3 linked regions of the Callithrix jacchus genome follow. The protein of the gene in region 1 interacts with the protein of each later gene in a pairwise test. Links are inferred from orthologs where the notes say so. Each region holds a gene or a part of one and is shown on either strand. Other genes may lie near its edges.

Region 1 (4,182 bases):
AAGTTCCTCGGGGAGGCCATTTTTCTCTGGGCCTGTTTCCACCTCAGTGAAAGAGGAAGCAGGCCAGATGTGGTGGGGCACGCCTCTCGTCACAGAACTTTGGAGGCAAGGTGGACCATCACTTGAATCCAGGAGCTTGAGACCAGCCTGACTTGAGAGGCTAAACTCCAAAGTACCCATTACCCTAGACACAAAATTGGGTGCACACACAAAACTTCGTTCACGATTTCACGGAGCCACACGCTCCCAGCTGCCCATGCTGGTAAGGTATCACTGATCTAGCATAGGGTTTTGATTTTTGACGGGGTCTTACTCTGTCACCCAGGCTGGAGTGCAATGGCGTGGTCTCGGCTCACTGCAACCTCAGCCTCCTGGGTTCAAGGGATTCTCCTGCCTCAGCCTCCTGAGTAGTTGGGATGACAGGCACACATGCCACCATGCCCAGCTAATTTTTGTCTCTTCAGTACAGATGGGATTTCACCATGTTGGCCAGGCTGGTCTCAAACTCCTGACCTCAGGCGATCCACCCATATGATAAGGTTTTTAAAGCATGATTGACATTCGACACTAGATTATTCTCTGGGGCGGGGCTATCCTAGGCACTGCAGGGTAGTGAGCAGCATCCCTGGCCTCTACCCACTCCGTACCAGGAGGTCCCCCAAATCATGACAACCACAAGGTCACCAAGTATCCCCGGGGCATAGGACTGTTCCCGGTTGAGACCCGCTGGTCAAGGGAGGGAAAAGACAGACAAAACGAATAATCAGAGACAGAAACAAGGCAAGGCACGGTGGCTCACGCCTGTAATCCCAGCACTGTGGGAGGCTGAGGCGGGTGGATCACGAGGTCAAGAGTTCGAGACCAGCCTGAGCAACATGGTGAAAGCCCTTCTTTACTAAGAATACAAAAATTAGGCGGGCGTGGTGGTGCGTGCCTGTAGTCCCAGCTACTGAGAGAATGACGCAGGACAACTGCTTGGGCCCCAGAGGTGGAGTGAGCCAAGATCACGCCATTGCAACAGAGCAAGACTCCGTCTCAAAACAAAACAAAGCAAAAAAAACCAAAAAACAGAAAAACAAATGAGTGTGCGGGAGCCCAGACATCCCCAGGTGTTCCTGCCCTTCCTGTTGTCACTGTTCTCTATTTGCCTTTGTCATTTTTAACAGTTTCTTTAAAACGCTGTTGTAGGACAGGCATGGGGGCTCACACCTGTAACCCCAGCACTTTGGGAGGCTTAGGCAGACAGATCATCAAGTCAAGAGTTGGAGACCAGCCTGGCCAACATGGTGAAACCCCGTCTCTACTAAAAATACAAAAAAATTAGCCGGGCGTGGTGGCACCAACCTGTAATCCCAGCTACTGGGGAGGCTGAGGCAGGAGAATCGCTTGAACCCAGGAGGTGGAGTGAGCCGAGATGAAGCCACTGCACTCCTGTCTGGGCGACCGAATAAGATTCCGTCTCAGCCGGGCGCGGTGGCTCATGCCTGTAATCCCAGCACTTTGGGAGGCTGAGGCGGGCGGATCACGAGGTCAAGAGATCAAGACCATCCTGGTCAACATGGTGAAACCCCGTCTCTACTAAAAATACAAAAAATTAGCTGGGCACGGTGGCACGTGCCTGTAATCCCAGCTACTTGGGAGGCTGAGGCAGGAGAATTGCCTGAACCCAGGAGGCGGAGGTTGCGGTGAGCCGAGATCGCGCCATTGCACTCCAGCCTGGGTAACAAGAGCAAAACTCCGTCTCAAAAAAAAAAAAAAAGACACAGAAACAAAAGAAAATGGGAGAATCATTCACCCTCTGAGATGCACACTCACGGCAATCTTCTGGCCCCGAATAACAAAAACAGCCGTTCTCAAGCCAGCTCTCTCTTACCAACTTCCAGGCACCCCGTCAAAGAATCCTATGTGGGTTTACCCTCATAAGGACCCTCCGACACATCTGCTTTTACCACTCCTGTTTACGAAAGAAGGGGCGCTTTGCTTAGAGCGGAGGCGACTCACCCAGGTTTACGCAGCGGGTAAGACGTGCTGGAGGGCTGGTCCTGTATCCCACATTGCCCCAACCTCCAGCAAGATATGCAGAAGACGACTCTAAACATGAAATAAGACGAACGGCCGCCAATTCTTCGGGGTTCTCACTTGGCGCTGGGCCCCGCGGCTCTCATTTCCCAGGCAGGGACTTTTGACAGCGTCCGTTTTACAGAGGGGACAACTGAGGCTCCAAAAAGCCAAGAGGCTGGGTAAGGTCACCGAGGTAGGGACTGGCGGCGCTGGGACTAGAGCCCCGACTTGAGTCACCACAAACGGGGGTCCCCGAGTCACAGGAACGACATTTCCAGGCGGTTAATAAGAGCGAGACGGCAGCGGACACCCAGCGAGCGCTCACTACTCCGGGGCGCCTTCACCTCCCGCCGACCTCGCCACCAGCCCGCGGACCAGCATTTCCAGGACCTGGGGTCCGGGACAGGGAGATCGGGGCTCGAACGGCCTGCCCGATGCCTCCCGGCCTCAGTTTCCCCTCCGCGCCACCTACTCACAGGACCCCGCGAGTCGCGGTGACCCTGACCTCACAATCCCCAACCTCTTACGGGCTCTGGGGCCCCGTGAGCCCCGAGCCGCAGACCCCCGATCCCCCAGGCTCAGCACGGAGCCCCTTACTCACCTCTCAGGCGACCGATCCCCGACCCACCGACGGTTGCGCTTGCGCACCGCGGTGCCACCCGGCCCCGGCCCCTGGGCTCCACGCCTGCGCAGAACAAGGGCATCCCGGCTTGCTTCCCTTCTGCGCAGGTGCATTACTGCTCTAAGTGGGCGTGACAGGAAGTGGCGTAACGTAGAGGCGGGTACCAGCTGGTCGTTAGGGCAACTGACCTCTGCGACCTAACGGAGGCCGGAAATCAGGTCTGACTTGCCATCTAAAACAAGCATGAAGCGGTGCATGGTGGGACAGTGGCGGACTGCAACAGGTGGCGGAGCTGACCACGTGGTGCTGGGCCGGCCACGTGGTGCAGCCGCGTTTGGACATCTGGACCTCAGAGCGTCACAGGCGCGCAATGAATGGGAGTCACTGTTATCCGCTCCCTGTCTTTGTTTATTATTTACCCACCCATCTACTCACCCACAAATGCATTCTTTCATGCAATCTATGAGACGTCTGTGAAAATAGAGACATTTGTAGACAGCAGGTGCCTCATATTCAATCAATATTTATTACAAACCAGCCATAAAAATCAGCGAAGTGTCTACTCTCATTATCTTGCATTGGTGTAGACGGACTATCAACTAATAAACTAGTGCATAAATACAGAAACAAGAAATTTCACAGCAAACCCTGCAAAAAAAAAATGAAGGTTGGCCGGGCGCAGTGGCTCAAGCCTGTAATCCCAGCACTTTGGGAGGCTGAGGCGGGTGGATCACAAGGTCGAGAGATCGAGACCAACCTGGTCAACATATGAAACCCCGTCTCTACTAAAAATACAAAAAATTAGCTGGGCATGGTGGCGCGTGCCTGTAATCCCAGCTACTCGGGAGGCTGAGGCAGGAGAATTGCCTGAACCCAGGAGGCGGAGGTTGCGGTGAGCCGAGATCACACCATTGCACTCCAGCCTGGGTAACAAGAGTGAAACTCCGTCTCAAAAAAAAAAAAAAAAAATGAAGGTGCTGTGATTGTGGCTGGGAGCTAGGATGGGTAGGAAAGATCATCGTTTAGATTTGGATTTCAAGGATAGGAAAGTCCAAACTTAAAGTACCCCAGGCACAGGGAACAGCTAAAATGAAGGCTGACGTAAAATTAAGCTTGGTGTGCTCAAGACACCACCCCCCCCCAAAAAAATAGAGACAAAGTGGTGAGAAATTTCCTAGGACAATGGAAAACTTAGCACCATCTGAGTTATAGTTGCCAGAAATGTTCTCTGTTATAAGTAAAAGTTTGATGCTGCAAAAGAAATAGCACTCGAAGACAAATCCTCTCAGCAAGGCAGTTTATTTCTATAGAAGGGTGCAGCTCACTGAGGGAGCGATGCTGACCACATATGTGGGCAAGTGAGAAAAAGGGGTACTTATGCCTGATGGGGGTGGCCCCTACTCCTGTGTCATTCCCCTATTGGCTAGAGTGAGACCGCACAAGCTAGACTAATCCCGATTGGCTCTTTTAAAGGGAGCAGGGGTCCAAGCTGGAGTGGC
Region 2 (4,684 bases), on another chromosome or scaffold:
ACCTCTGCCTTCCGGGTTCAAGCGATTCTCTTGCCTGAGCCTCCTGAGTAGCTGGGACTACAGGCACGTTCCACCATGCTGGATAATTTTCTGTATTTTTAGTAGAGACAGGGTTTCACCATGTTAGCCAGGATGGTCTCAATCTCCTGACCCCGTGATTCCCACGCCTCGGCCTCCCAAAGTGCTGGAATTACAGGCGTGAGCCACCGCGCCTGGCCTAGGGAGAGAGATTTTAGAGAATGGGAGTAAAGAGGCAGGTGGTGAGAAAATCCCAAGTACTTTCTCTGTCTTAGAGCAGAAGAAATAATGGGATAAAGGGAAAAGTAAAAGCCCACGGCCCAGAAACATTTGCTGGGTTGTTTGTATTTGTAAATGTAACCACCTCCCTGGCTCAGGTTACCGACCCGAGGGGGGGGACAGCGGGCGATTGTTTGGAAACAGTTTAAACAGTGACAAGAATTGAATTTTATTTGTTTGCTGCCGGTGGCTCATGCCTGTAATCTCAGCACTTTGAGAGGCCAAGGCGGCTGGATCAAGCGGTCAGAAGTTCAAGACCAGCCTGGCCAAGATGGCGAAACCCCATCTCTACTAAAAATACAGAAATTAATTAGCTGGTCGCGGTGGCGGGCACGTGTCATCTCAGCTATTCGGGGGCTGAGGCAGGAGAATCTCGAACCCCGCGGACGGGAGGTAGCGGGGCGGAGGGTGCACTGAGCTGAGGTCGCGCCATTGCACTCTAGCCTGGGCGACAGGGTGAGAAAAATAAAAATAAAAAAATTAGGGCCGGGCGCGGTGGCGCGTGCCTGTAATCCCAGCACTTTGGGAGGCCGAAGCGGGTGGATCATGAGGTCAGGAGATCGAGACCATCCCGGTCAACATGGCGAAACCCCGTCTCTACTAAAAATACAGAAAATTAGCTGGGCATGGTGGTGCGTGCCTGTAATCCCAGCTGCTCAGGAGGCCGAGGCAGGAGAATTGCCTGAACCCAGGAGGCGGAGGCTGCGGTGAGCCGAGATCGCGCCATTGCACTCCAGCCTGGGTAACAGGAGCCAAACTCCGTCTCAAAAAAAAAAATAATAAAATAAAATAAAAAAATAAAAAATGAAAAACTGAATTCCTCGTTACGCATTGCACAATAACCATAACGGTCATGAAAACGAAAGTTCGCCTCCAATCCCATCACCGCATTCAGTCACTCGTCTGCGTCCTCCCTGTCGGTCCGTCCTGCACTAACGCGACGCGACGCGACGCGCTCCGCCGGTGTCGGTGACAGCGCAGCGTGCACACGTTCCGATAAAAACGCGCGTTTTGCTGTTTGCTCCGTTTTGTATTCCCGAGGCGGCAACACGCACCTTCACACGAGCGGCCGTAACGGCTGCCTACGATCCCCTCCCGCACGGGCGTTCAGGGAGCACCGAAGCGTCCACGCCAGCCGGTCTGACCTTGTCGGTCAAGGTCAGGGGAGGCCGCCGGGTTCCCGGGGCGGGAGGCGTCGAGGCGGAGGTCAGCGCGCCCCTGGCGCGGCTCCTCCGGCACCTGCTGCCTTGGCGCCTTTTCCCCGCGACTTCGCCGGGCCCGGAGCGCCCTCCGCGGAGGACCCCGGGCGCGCGCGCTCCCGCCCCCCGGCGGTCTGTGGAGAGCGCCTCGCTGGGCTACGTGCCTCAGGAAGTGACGCAAGACCCCGGGGGGCGGGGGGGCGGGACCAGGCTATAAACCGCCGGTTCGGGGCCGCAGTGCCCTCAGAGAGCGCCGGGACCTCGCGTGGCGGCTCGGGCTCCGCCGGACGGAGGGCGCGCCAGGGTGAGTGACGCTCGTGTCTTCCCTTCATCCTGCGGGGCTTGCTCGGGCTGCAGCCCCGGTGCGGACCGGCAGCCACAGGGCGCCGCCGCGGGGCGGGAGGGCGGGAGGGCGGCCGGGCGGAGCGGGGCGGGAGGCGGGAGGGCGCCCGGGCGGAGCGGGGCGGGAGGCGGGAGGGCGCCCGGGCGGAGCGGGGCGGGAGGCGGGAGGGCGGCCGGGCGGAGCGGTGAAGGCGGGAGGGCGGCCGGGCGGAGCGGTGAAGGCGGGAGGGCGGCCGGGCGGAGCGGAGCGGTGAAGGCGGGAGGGCGCCCGGGCGGAGCGGTGAAGGCGCCGCGGCGGCGCTGCAGGTGCGCGGGGTGAGAGGCGCCGTTTCGCCGCGCGTCCCTCCGCTTCCGTGCCTTCCCCGCTCTCTGCCTTCTTCCCGCCTGCTGGGTCTCGGAGCGGCGAATGGCTTCCCTGGTTGCTGTGAGGGCGACGCCAGGTGTGCCCCGGTGGGCTCAGCCCGCCATGCTGCTTTCGGCTCCTCGCGGGTGAAAGCTGCGGGCCTCCCGCGCCGGGCCTGGGCTGCGGGTTCGGAGCGCGGCGCGGCCAGGCTGCAGCTGCGCGGCGCGGGGAGCACGTGGCTGCTCCAGGAAGTCGCCCCGGGGAACGGCTGGGATCTGTGGGTGACCTTGGGCTCCTGAACCTCCGCTGCCCCGGGCCCGGGCGGGCGCTGCTCTCGCGAGGAACGGGACAGAGCTGTCCCCGGGTCGGTGACCGGCGTGTCACCCGCAGGAGGTGCGGGTTCTGTAAACGGACACCTGGGCTCTGGCACCCCCTGGCCCTGCCTGTTCGCCCCGAGCGCGCATCCCGTTTTCGCCGGAGAATGGACCCAGCCTTGGGCGGGCGGGCGGGCGGGCACGCCGAGGATGTCGCTGGCAGTTGTCACCCAAGGCGGAGGCCGCAGGAGTGGCTTACTTGCGAAGGACACGGGAAATGAGCGGTGCGGTCAGAGGGCCGTGCTGTACTGACCACGCGGACGGGCCCGTGCGTCCTTTCTGCCGGACGGCGCTTTAAGGTGGCGGTTGGGAGGGTGGGTAAGAAAACATGCTCTGATTCAGCTCTTTTCCCTCTGCTCACTGCTCGTGGAGACCTTGGGTACGTCCCTTACCGTGCAGGGGACTGGATTCTGCGGCATTTTCCATGTTCCTCCCGGTGGATAAGAGGATTAAGGAGGACATTGTATTTGGCGACCCCATAACTTGTATGCTAAGCTCACTGTGAACACGAAGGTTAGGCTCTCTACAGGACTTGTAGACCCTGCTGGTTTTTTACCCCGTCAATGCTGGGTTACAATGTGCTTCTCGAGGGTTTGTCATTGATACTGCAGCGTTAGATACGGCATGGCATCCTCCAGTTTCCTTTGAAGTGGCTATCAAGGTATGGTGGCTGTAACCCTAGCCTGTGTTGAAGACGGTTGGATAGACAGCAGTTAGGCTAAATCTGCCCTAAGGCGAGGCAGTGGCTTCCCTCTGATAATGTACTTAAATGTCACGGAGCAAGGTTCCCAGCTAAACCTGAAGAACCACAATGAAAGCTACTTTGGCCAGGCCGCGTGGTTCACGCCTGTAATCCTAGCACTTTGGGAGGCACAGGCAGGCGGATCGCCTGAGGTTAGGAGTTCGAGACCAGCCCAACCAACGTGGTGAAACCCCGTCTGTATTAAAAATAGAAAAATTAGCTGGGCGAGGTGGCCAACGCCTGTAATCCCAGCTACTTGGAAGGCTGAGGCAGGAGAATCACTTGAACCCAGGAAGCAGAGGTTGCAGTGAGCCGAGATCGGGCTGCTGCACTCTAGCCTGGGCGACAGAGCAAGACTCCATCTCAAAACAAAATAAAACAAAATAAAAAAACTTCCCTATTAAACCATAAGAGTGGCAGGAATGGGGAAAGATTCCAGGTCCAATGTTTTCATTATGTTTTTCATATCATTTGAAATCTCAGGCATCAAGCATGCTCCAATACTATTAAATAATATTTTTACAGGTAGTTCAGTATCAGTTATTACAGGATAGGGAAGACAGTCAGAGAAGGCTTCATAGAGATGGCCCTTGAGCTGAGCCTGGAAGAAATGAGGAGGACCTCAAGGAACAGAGGAAGAATGTTAGTGGGTGAAAGCATGGGCTGGATTCTGTCCGATTTTGGAGAAAATAGACGGTAGTGAAGTTGTTAGGCTAAATGTGTTTAGAACAGAGCTTCTAAAGCAAGCAGAGAAACTTCGGTTTATCTGAGCTCCAAGGACTTGAAACAGTGGCCTGGTTTATAAACTGAGGTGGGCTTGTCAGTAGTAACAAACGTGGCTTACTTAAGAAAAGTGAAGTAGCGGCTTTGGGTATGTTTGGCATAGGTGAAATTTTGGTATCTGATCCCCACTGAGCTTCGTGTAGATCTCTAATTTTGAGTCTGTACAAAGAAGCCCCAAACCTCCAGATAAGTACTGCATTTAGAAAACTGAATAGAGTTTAATGCCGTATTTTAATAAAGTAGGAATGATTCAATTTTAAAGAAGTTTGGGAGCTGGGTGCAGTGGCTCACGCCTGTAACTTTAGCATTTAGAGAGGCTGAGGCAGGCGGAACACTTGAGGCCAGGAATTGGAGACCGGCCTGGCCAACATGGCAAGAAACTCTTTCTCTAATAAAAATACAAAAAGTTAGCTGGGAATGGTATTGTACGCCTATAATTCCAGCTACTCCAGAAACTGAGGCACAAGAATTACTTGAGCCTGGGAGGCAGAGGTTGCAGTGAGCCAAAATGACCCCATTGCACTTCAACCCAGGTGACAGAGCCAGACCCTGTCTCAAAAAGAAAAAAAAATTGTAAAGAAGTTTGGGACGGTGGTTTAGCTAG
Region 3 (4,755 bases), about 29 Mb from region 1:
CTCGCGAAGCCTAGCTGGAGCAACAGCGCCGCGTGGCGCCCGCCGGAAGGGAGCCTCAGTCTCTCCTACCTCTCCACCCTCACAGGCAGAAAATGCCGGTGCAAGTTCAACCAGCAGCAGAGGTAAGAAGCTCCACCTGGCCATCCCTAGCCCTCTCCCGCTCTGGAGGGCCCCGCGGGTGAGGCGGGAAGTCCCCCTGCCCCGCAGCCCGATCCCCATCAGCGACTATGTTTTAAGCACCTACTATGTGCCCTGGCCCAAGCCGAGCCATGGGCCCAAGCGAGGAAAAAAACCTCCCGCCCTTCCTGGCCGAGCTCCCAGGATAATGGAGGCGGTGGCCATGGGTTCCAACAGCCCACAGATAGAAAAATCACAAATCGTGATAACACGAAGTGCAGGAAAGAAGGAACGGCGGTGAAATGAGATCATCTCACACGCGGCTCAGTTTAGCTTGTAGTCCTGTTCCTAGCTCTTTGATTCATCTTCAAATAAAATGTTAAAGCATGGACAATGTTTGAATATGTTAGACAATTATAGATATTATCATAAGTAGTAGCCAATATTTATTGGGTGTTGTACCACGTGTCAGATACGGTTTCACTTCCTCTGGGAGGGAGGTGAGGTTATTAACTCCGTTTTACAGATGAGGAAACTGAGGCACAGGGAGGTAAAGTCACTTTGCTCAAGATCACTCAAGTGGAAGATGGGTTCTGGGTTTCCAACCCAGGCCATCACGTGGCAGTCTGCCAAATCCCCTTGACCATCCCTCCCCTACCAACTTCGTATCCCCGCCTCCAAATCCGCAGAGGTACTCACTGTTAACCAGCTTGGAAGCCTCCTGCCAGGCACTTAAGCTGCTCCTGGGTGCTCCTCACTTCTGGCGGACCCCGAGCCTGCTTCTCGTCCATATCTGGGCCTCCTTACACCAGTCTGAAAAGGAGGCTTGTACTTGGGGGCTGGTTCCTAGAAGGGCAGCCTCTCCCCGTTTCCATCCCGAAATCTCTCTGCTTCTGTCTTCCCAGGACTGGGGAACCCGATGAAGAGGAGGGAACTTTCCGCAGCTCCATCCGCCGTGAGTTTGGGGAGACCGGTTTTGGGGGGAGGGGGCTGGTTCCAAGGACCCCTTTTCCTGGCCCTCCCGGGTTGCGCAGAGGGAGGGACTGGATCTGAAAGTGGAGGGCAGGGAGTTGCCCCGCCGTGGGCCCCTCCTGCCCAGAAGCTGGGGATCCCCCTCTTAACTGTCCCCCGACCTCCGTGTTCCCCCCAGGTCTGTCCACCCGCAGGCGGTAGAAACACCTGGCACGATGGAACCCTGCCGAGTGCTGCAGGTCTGACACGGCGGGAGGAGGGAAGGGGGGAGGAAGAAAGGGCGGAACAGGGAGGGGGCCAAGTGCCAGGGTGGGAGGGCGGCGAGGGGGGGGGCTGGACGTACCCCCTCGCCTCTCATCCTTTTCACCCCCACAGGACTCCCCTGGCACCTGAGGTCTCCCACGCTCCACCTGCGCGCCCACCGCTCCCTCCGCCGCCCCTTCCCCAGCCCTACCCCGCAGACTCCCCCTGCCTCCCAGATTTCCAATAAAACGTGCATTCCTCTCGACAGCGTTTAGTCGGTTTCCGTCCCTCAGCGCGAAAATCCAGCGCTTCTGGACCCCAGCAGGGGGCGCCCCACCCTAGAGGAAGGGGCGGGGACGACAGTGGTGGGCGGGGGCGGGGGCGGGGGTGGCCTGCACGGGGGCGGGCTCCCCGGGCCCCCATTGGCTACAGGCACCCCCCCACGCCAGGGCTCCCCCCAGCTCCCCTCCACATCGGTCCGTCCTGCTTCCAGCTGCTGCAGCGCGCCTTCGCCGCCAAAGCATCCAGAAGCCCCCTGCTCCATCCGAGCATGGCGACCCCGACCCAGACCCCCACAAAGGGTGAGCGTCGTCTGGGGAGGGGGTTGTAGGGGGGCTCTGTGATCTGAAAGCCTAGGAGAGAGGGTGTTGGGAAATTCCAGCAATGGTAAGGCAGGGGAGTGAGGAGGGGGAGGTCCGCTCCTCCTGCGGGCGGAGGCCCCTGTCCTGCACCCCCCTGCTCGCCCCTCTGGGTCTCTGGGATACCCTCTCCCCGGCGGGCGACCTGTGCGAGACCTGAGGTTGGAGATTGGCAGTCCCGGGAGAAGGGATGCTCGGACAGGTCGCTATGGCAACCGGGTGGCTGGTCCGGCACCGTGGTGGTAGCAGACGGGAAGAGATGGGCTTGCAGGGTGGGAGCGGGTGGGTCTGCGGCCAGACACGCTCTGGAAGATTTCAGGGTCCCTGGGGTGGGCAAGAGAAGGGGAGGAGGTCCATGTCCCTCTTCTTTCCAGTGCTGTCTCCTGGGGTATATGTTTCCTGAAAGAGCCAGGTTCAGAGGAAAGGAGTGAGAGCTGAGGGAAGAGACAGAGAAGGGATAGTCAAGAGACAGAGGGAACCTGGAAGAGACAGAGACCAAGAAAGGCAGAAGATCCAGAGTCACAGACACAAAGACCCAGGAAGAAAAATAGAGGGACTCAGAGAGATTCTCAGTGGAAGGGAAAGGCAGGGAGCCATAGACAGACACAGAGAGAGAAAATGAGAGGCTGGGAGATAGTGGGATTGAGATCGCTGTGGAGAGAGAAGCAGAGACGGACCCATGGGGAGAGTGCAATAGAAAGAGAAGAAGGGAGCAGTCAGTGTGGGGTGGGGCCCAAACCACTGCAGTGAACCCCCATGGGTGGAAATGGGTGATGGGACCTTCCTTCCCAGCCCACAGCAGGGGTGGGTTCTAATCCCAGAGGTGCACTTGGTGTGCACATAGCTGCCCCTACTGCCCCCATACAGCCGCACACTGACTTCCATTCCACACCCATTAACCCAGTTATGCACCCGCTTAAACACCCGCTTCCACCGTCTACCCCTAATAACCCCCATTGCTCAGCTTGCTTCTGCAGAGAAGCAAGGCACAGACTGCTTCAAGAAAGAGCGGGTGCCCAGCCAGGGTCTCTAACACTGAGGGCAGGGCCAGGGGATGGATCAAAGTGCTGAGAAGCCCCTGGCAGTGAAGGGAACCCCAATCCCACTTATGGCTCCCTCCCTTCTGCGCTTCCCAGCAGGCGGGGGCTGCTGCACTGAGCCATATCTGCAGAATCCGAAGCAGGGCGGGGGGTGGGGGGGGCTGCAGAGGCTGGAAGCTACCCTAGGGAGAGGGGGCAGGGCTGAGGCAGCAGGCCTGGCAGGAGCCCAGGGCTTCTTTTTGCAGAGGTGGTGGTTAGCAGGATCGATGGCAGAGACGGGTAGAGGTGGGAGGACAGACTCTTCAACCCCACCTCTTCTGCCTCCCCCTTTCCCAGTCGCAGCATGAGAGGGGACCGCAGGTCTCAGGGAAATCCCGGGGGAGGAAAAGCATGTTGTGCATTACAAACTGCTTAAGGAAACTAATGAATGAATTGTTGGGGAGTGAGGGGGGTAAGAGGGGAGATCGTCTCCCTCCACCCTGCAGAGAATAGGAGGGAGAATTAGGGGTGAACAGAGAGGGATGCAGGAGCACAGGTGGGGCCGGGTCCCTATGCCTGAAATGGACCCTCAGCTTGGCCAGAAACCAGTCCTGCAGGGGCAATAGCAGGAGGTGCAAAAGGAGCAGAGGGGGTCAAGATTGAAACCTGCATCTCACACAGGACCCCACAGGGGACCCCACCCAGCCTGAGGTGCTGGGACCTATCACCTCTCTTCACCTCCCAAGATGCCCCAGTTGCCATAGTAACCACCTCCTTCCAGATATCTCCTTGGCAGCTGGCCAGGAGTAGTGCACATTCTTTTGCCTGACTTCTGGCCCCACCCTTAGCCCAGCCTCGCCTGACAGCCCAGGTTGCTGGGGCAGCAGGGACCCAAGGAGGATCTTCTGCATGGAGCACCAGATTCTGGCACAGGTGATCACCCAGTGGGCTCCCGAAATTTTGGGGAAGGGCAGGTGTGTGGAAAACAGGAGACAAATGAGACAATCCACCTTTTGCAGTCTCCTGCAACCTCAGAGTGCCTCATAATCATTCCTTCATTCATTCACCCCAGAAAACTTGAAGAGCCTTTCATAAATGTCAGGATGAACAGCAGCGATGAGTCAAACAAATTTACTCAGTCTCTGGTGGGGAAACTTACACGGAGCACGAGGGACCCTGAAACAGGGTTTGCCCATCTTGGTGCTTTAGAGTACTACCGTCCCAATTTTTGCTTTATTCAAATATACCTCATACTGCTACTTACCTAATTTTTTCCTTCAAAGGAGTAACTTTTTTGTTTTTATTATTTGAGACAGGGTCTCACTCTGTCACCCAGGCTGGAGTAGAGTGGCGCGATCATAGCTCACTGCAGCCTTAATGGCCTGGGCTTAATCTATCCTCCTGCCTCAGCCTCCTGAGTAGCTGGGCCTACAAGATGCTCAATGATACATCCAGCTAATTTTTGCATTTTTTGCAGCGATGGGTTTTGCTGTGTTTCCCAGGCTGGTCTCAAACTCCTGGGCTCAAGCAGTTCACCCAACTTGACCTCTGCCATGTTTCCCAGGCTGGTCTCAAACTCCTGGGCTCAAGCAGTTCACCCAACTTGACCTCTGCCATGTTTCCCAGGCTGGTCTCAAACTCCTGGGCTTAAGCAATTCACCCGACTTGACCTCCCAAAGTGCTTAGGATCGCAGGTGTGTGCCACCATGCCCAACTCAGGATTAGCTTTTTAAAAACAATGAACTTTATTTTGTATAGCACTATCA

The links. The genes of interacting proteins can lie anywhere in the genome.
Region 2: the proteins of SGTA (region 1) and TFRC interact in binary tests that used the Homo sapiens proteins (3 or more experiments, as listed by UniProt). The two-hybrid records come from large-scale screens. The link is inferred for Callithrix jacchus from reciprocal best matches to the Homo sapiens genes SGTA and TFRC.
Region 3: the proteins of SGTA (region 1) and FXYD7 interact in binary tests that used the Homo sapiens proteins (3 or more experiments, as listed by UniProt). The two-hybrid records come from large-scale screens. The link is inferred for Callithrix jacchus from reciprocal best matches to the Homo sapiens genes SGTA and FXYD7.

Annotation. Positions count from the first base shown.
Region 1 is NC_133523.1:2,624,970-2,629,151, forward strand, and holds the start of SGTA (small glutamine-rich tetratricopeptide repeat-containing protein alpha), read right to left. Parts: upstream 2,801-4,182; 5' UTR 2,766-2,800; coding exon 2,663-2,765; intron 2,092-2,662; exon of another isoform or gene 2,002-2,091; intron 1-2,001. UniProt on the Homo sapiens protein: Co-chaperone that binds misfolded and hydrophobic patches-containing client proteins in the cytosol. Mediates their targeting to the endoplasmic reticulum but also regulates their sorting to the proteasome when targeting fails.
Region 2 is NC_133518.1:80,924,066-80,928,749, forward strand, and holds the start of TFRC (transferrin receptor protein 1), read left to right. Parts: upstream 1-1,741; 5' UTR 1,742-1,800; intron 1,801-1,989; exon of another isoform or gene 1,990-3,216; intron 3,217-4,684. UniProt on the Homo sapiens protein: Cellular uptake of iron occurs via receptor-mediated endocytosis of ligand-occupied transferrin receptor into specialized endosomes. Endosomal acidification leads to iron release.
Region 3 is NC_133523.1:31,480,842-31,485,596, forward strand, and holds the start of FXYD7 (FXYD domain-containing ion transport regulator 7), read left to right. Parts: upstream 1-1,812; 5' UTR 1,813-1,882; coding exon 1,883-1,913; intron 1,914-4,755. Other genes in the region: FXYD1 (phospholemman), read left to right, coding at 86-122, 1,023-1,072, 1,268-1,290. UniProt on the Homo sapiens protein: Associates with and regulates the activity of the sodium/potassium-transporting ATPase (NKA) which catalyzes the hydrolysis of ATP coupled with the exchange of Na(+) and K(+) ions across the plasma membrane.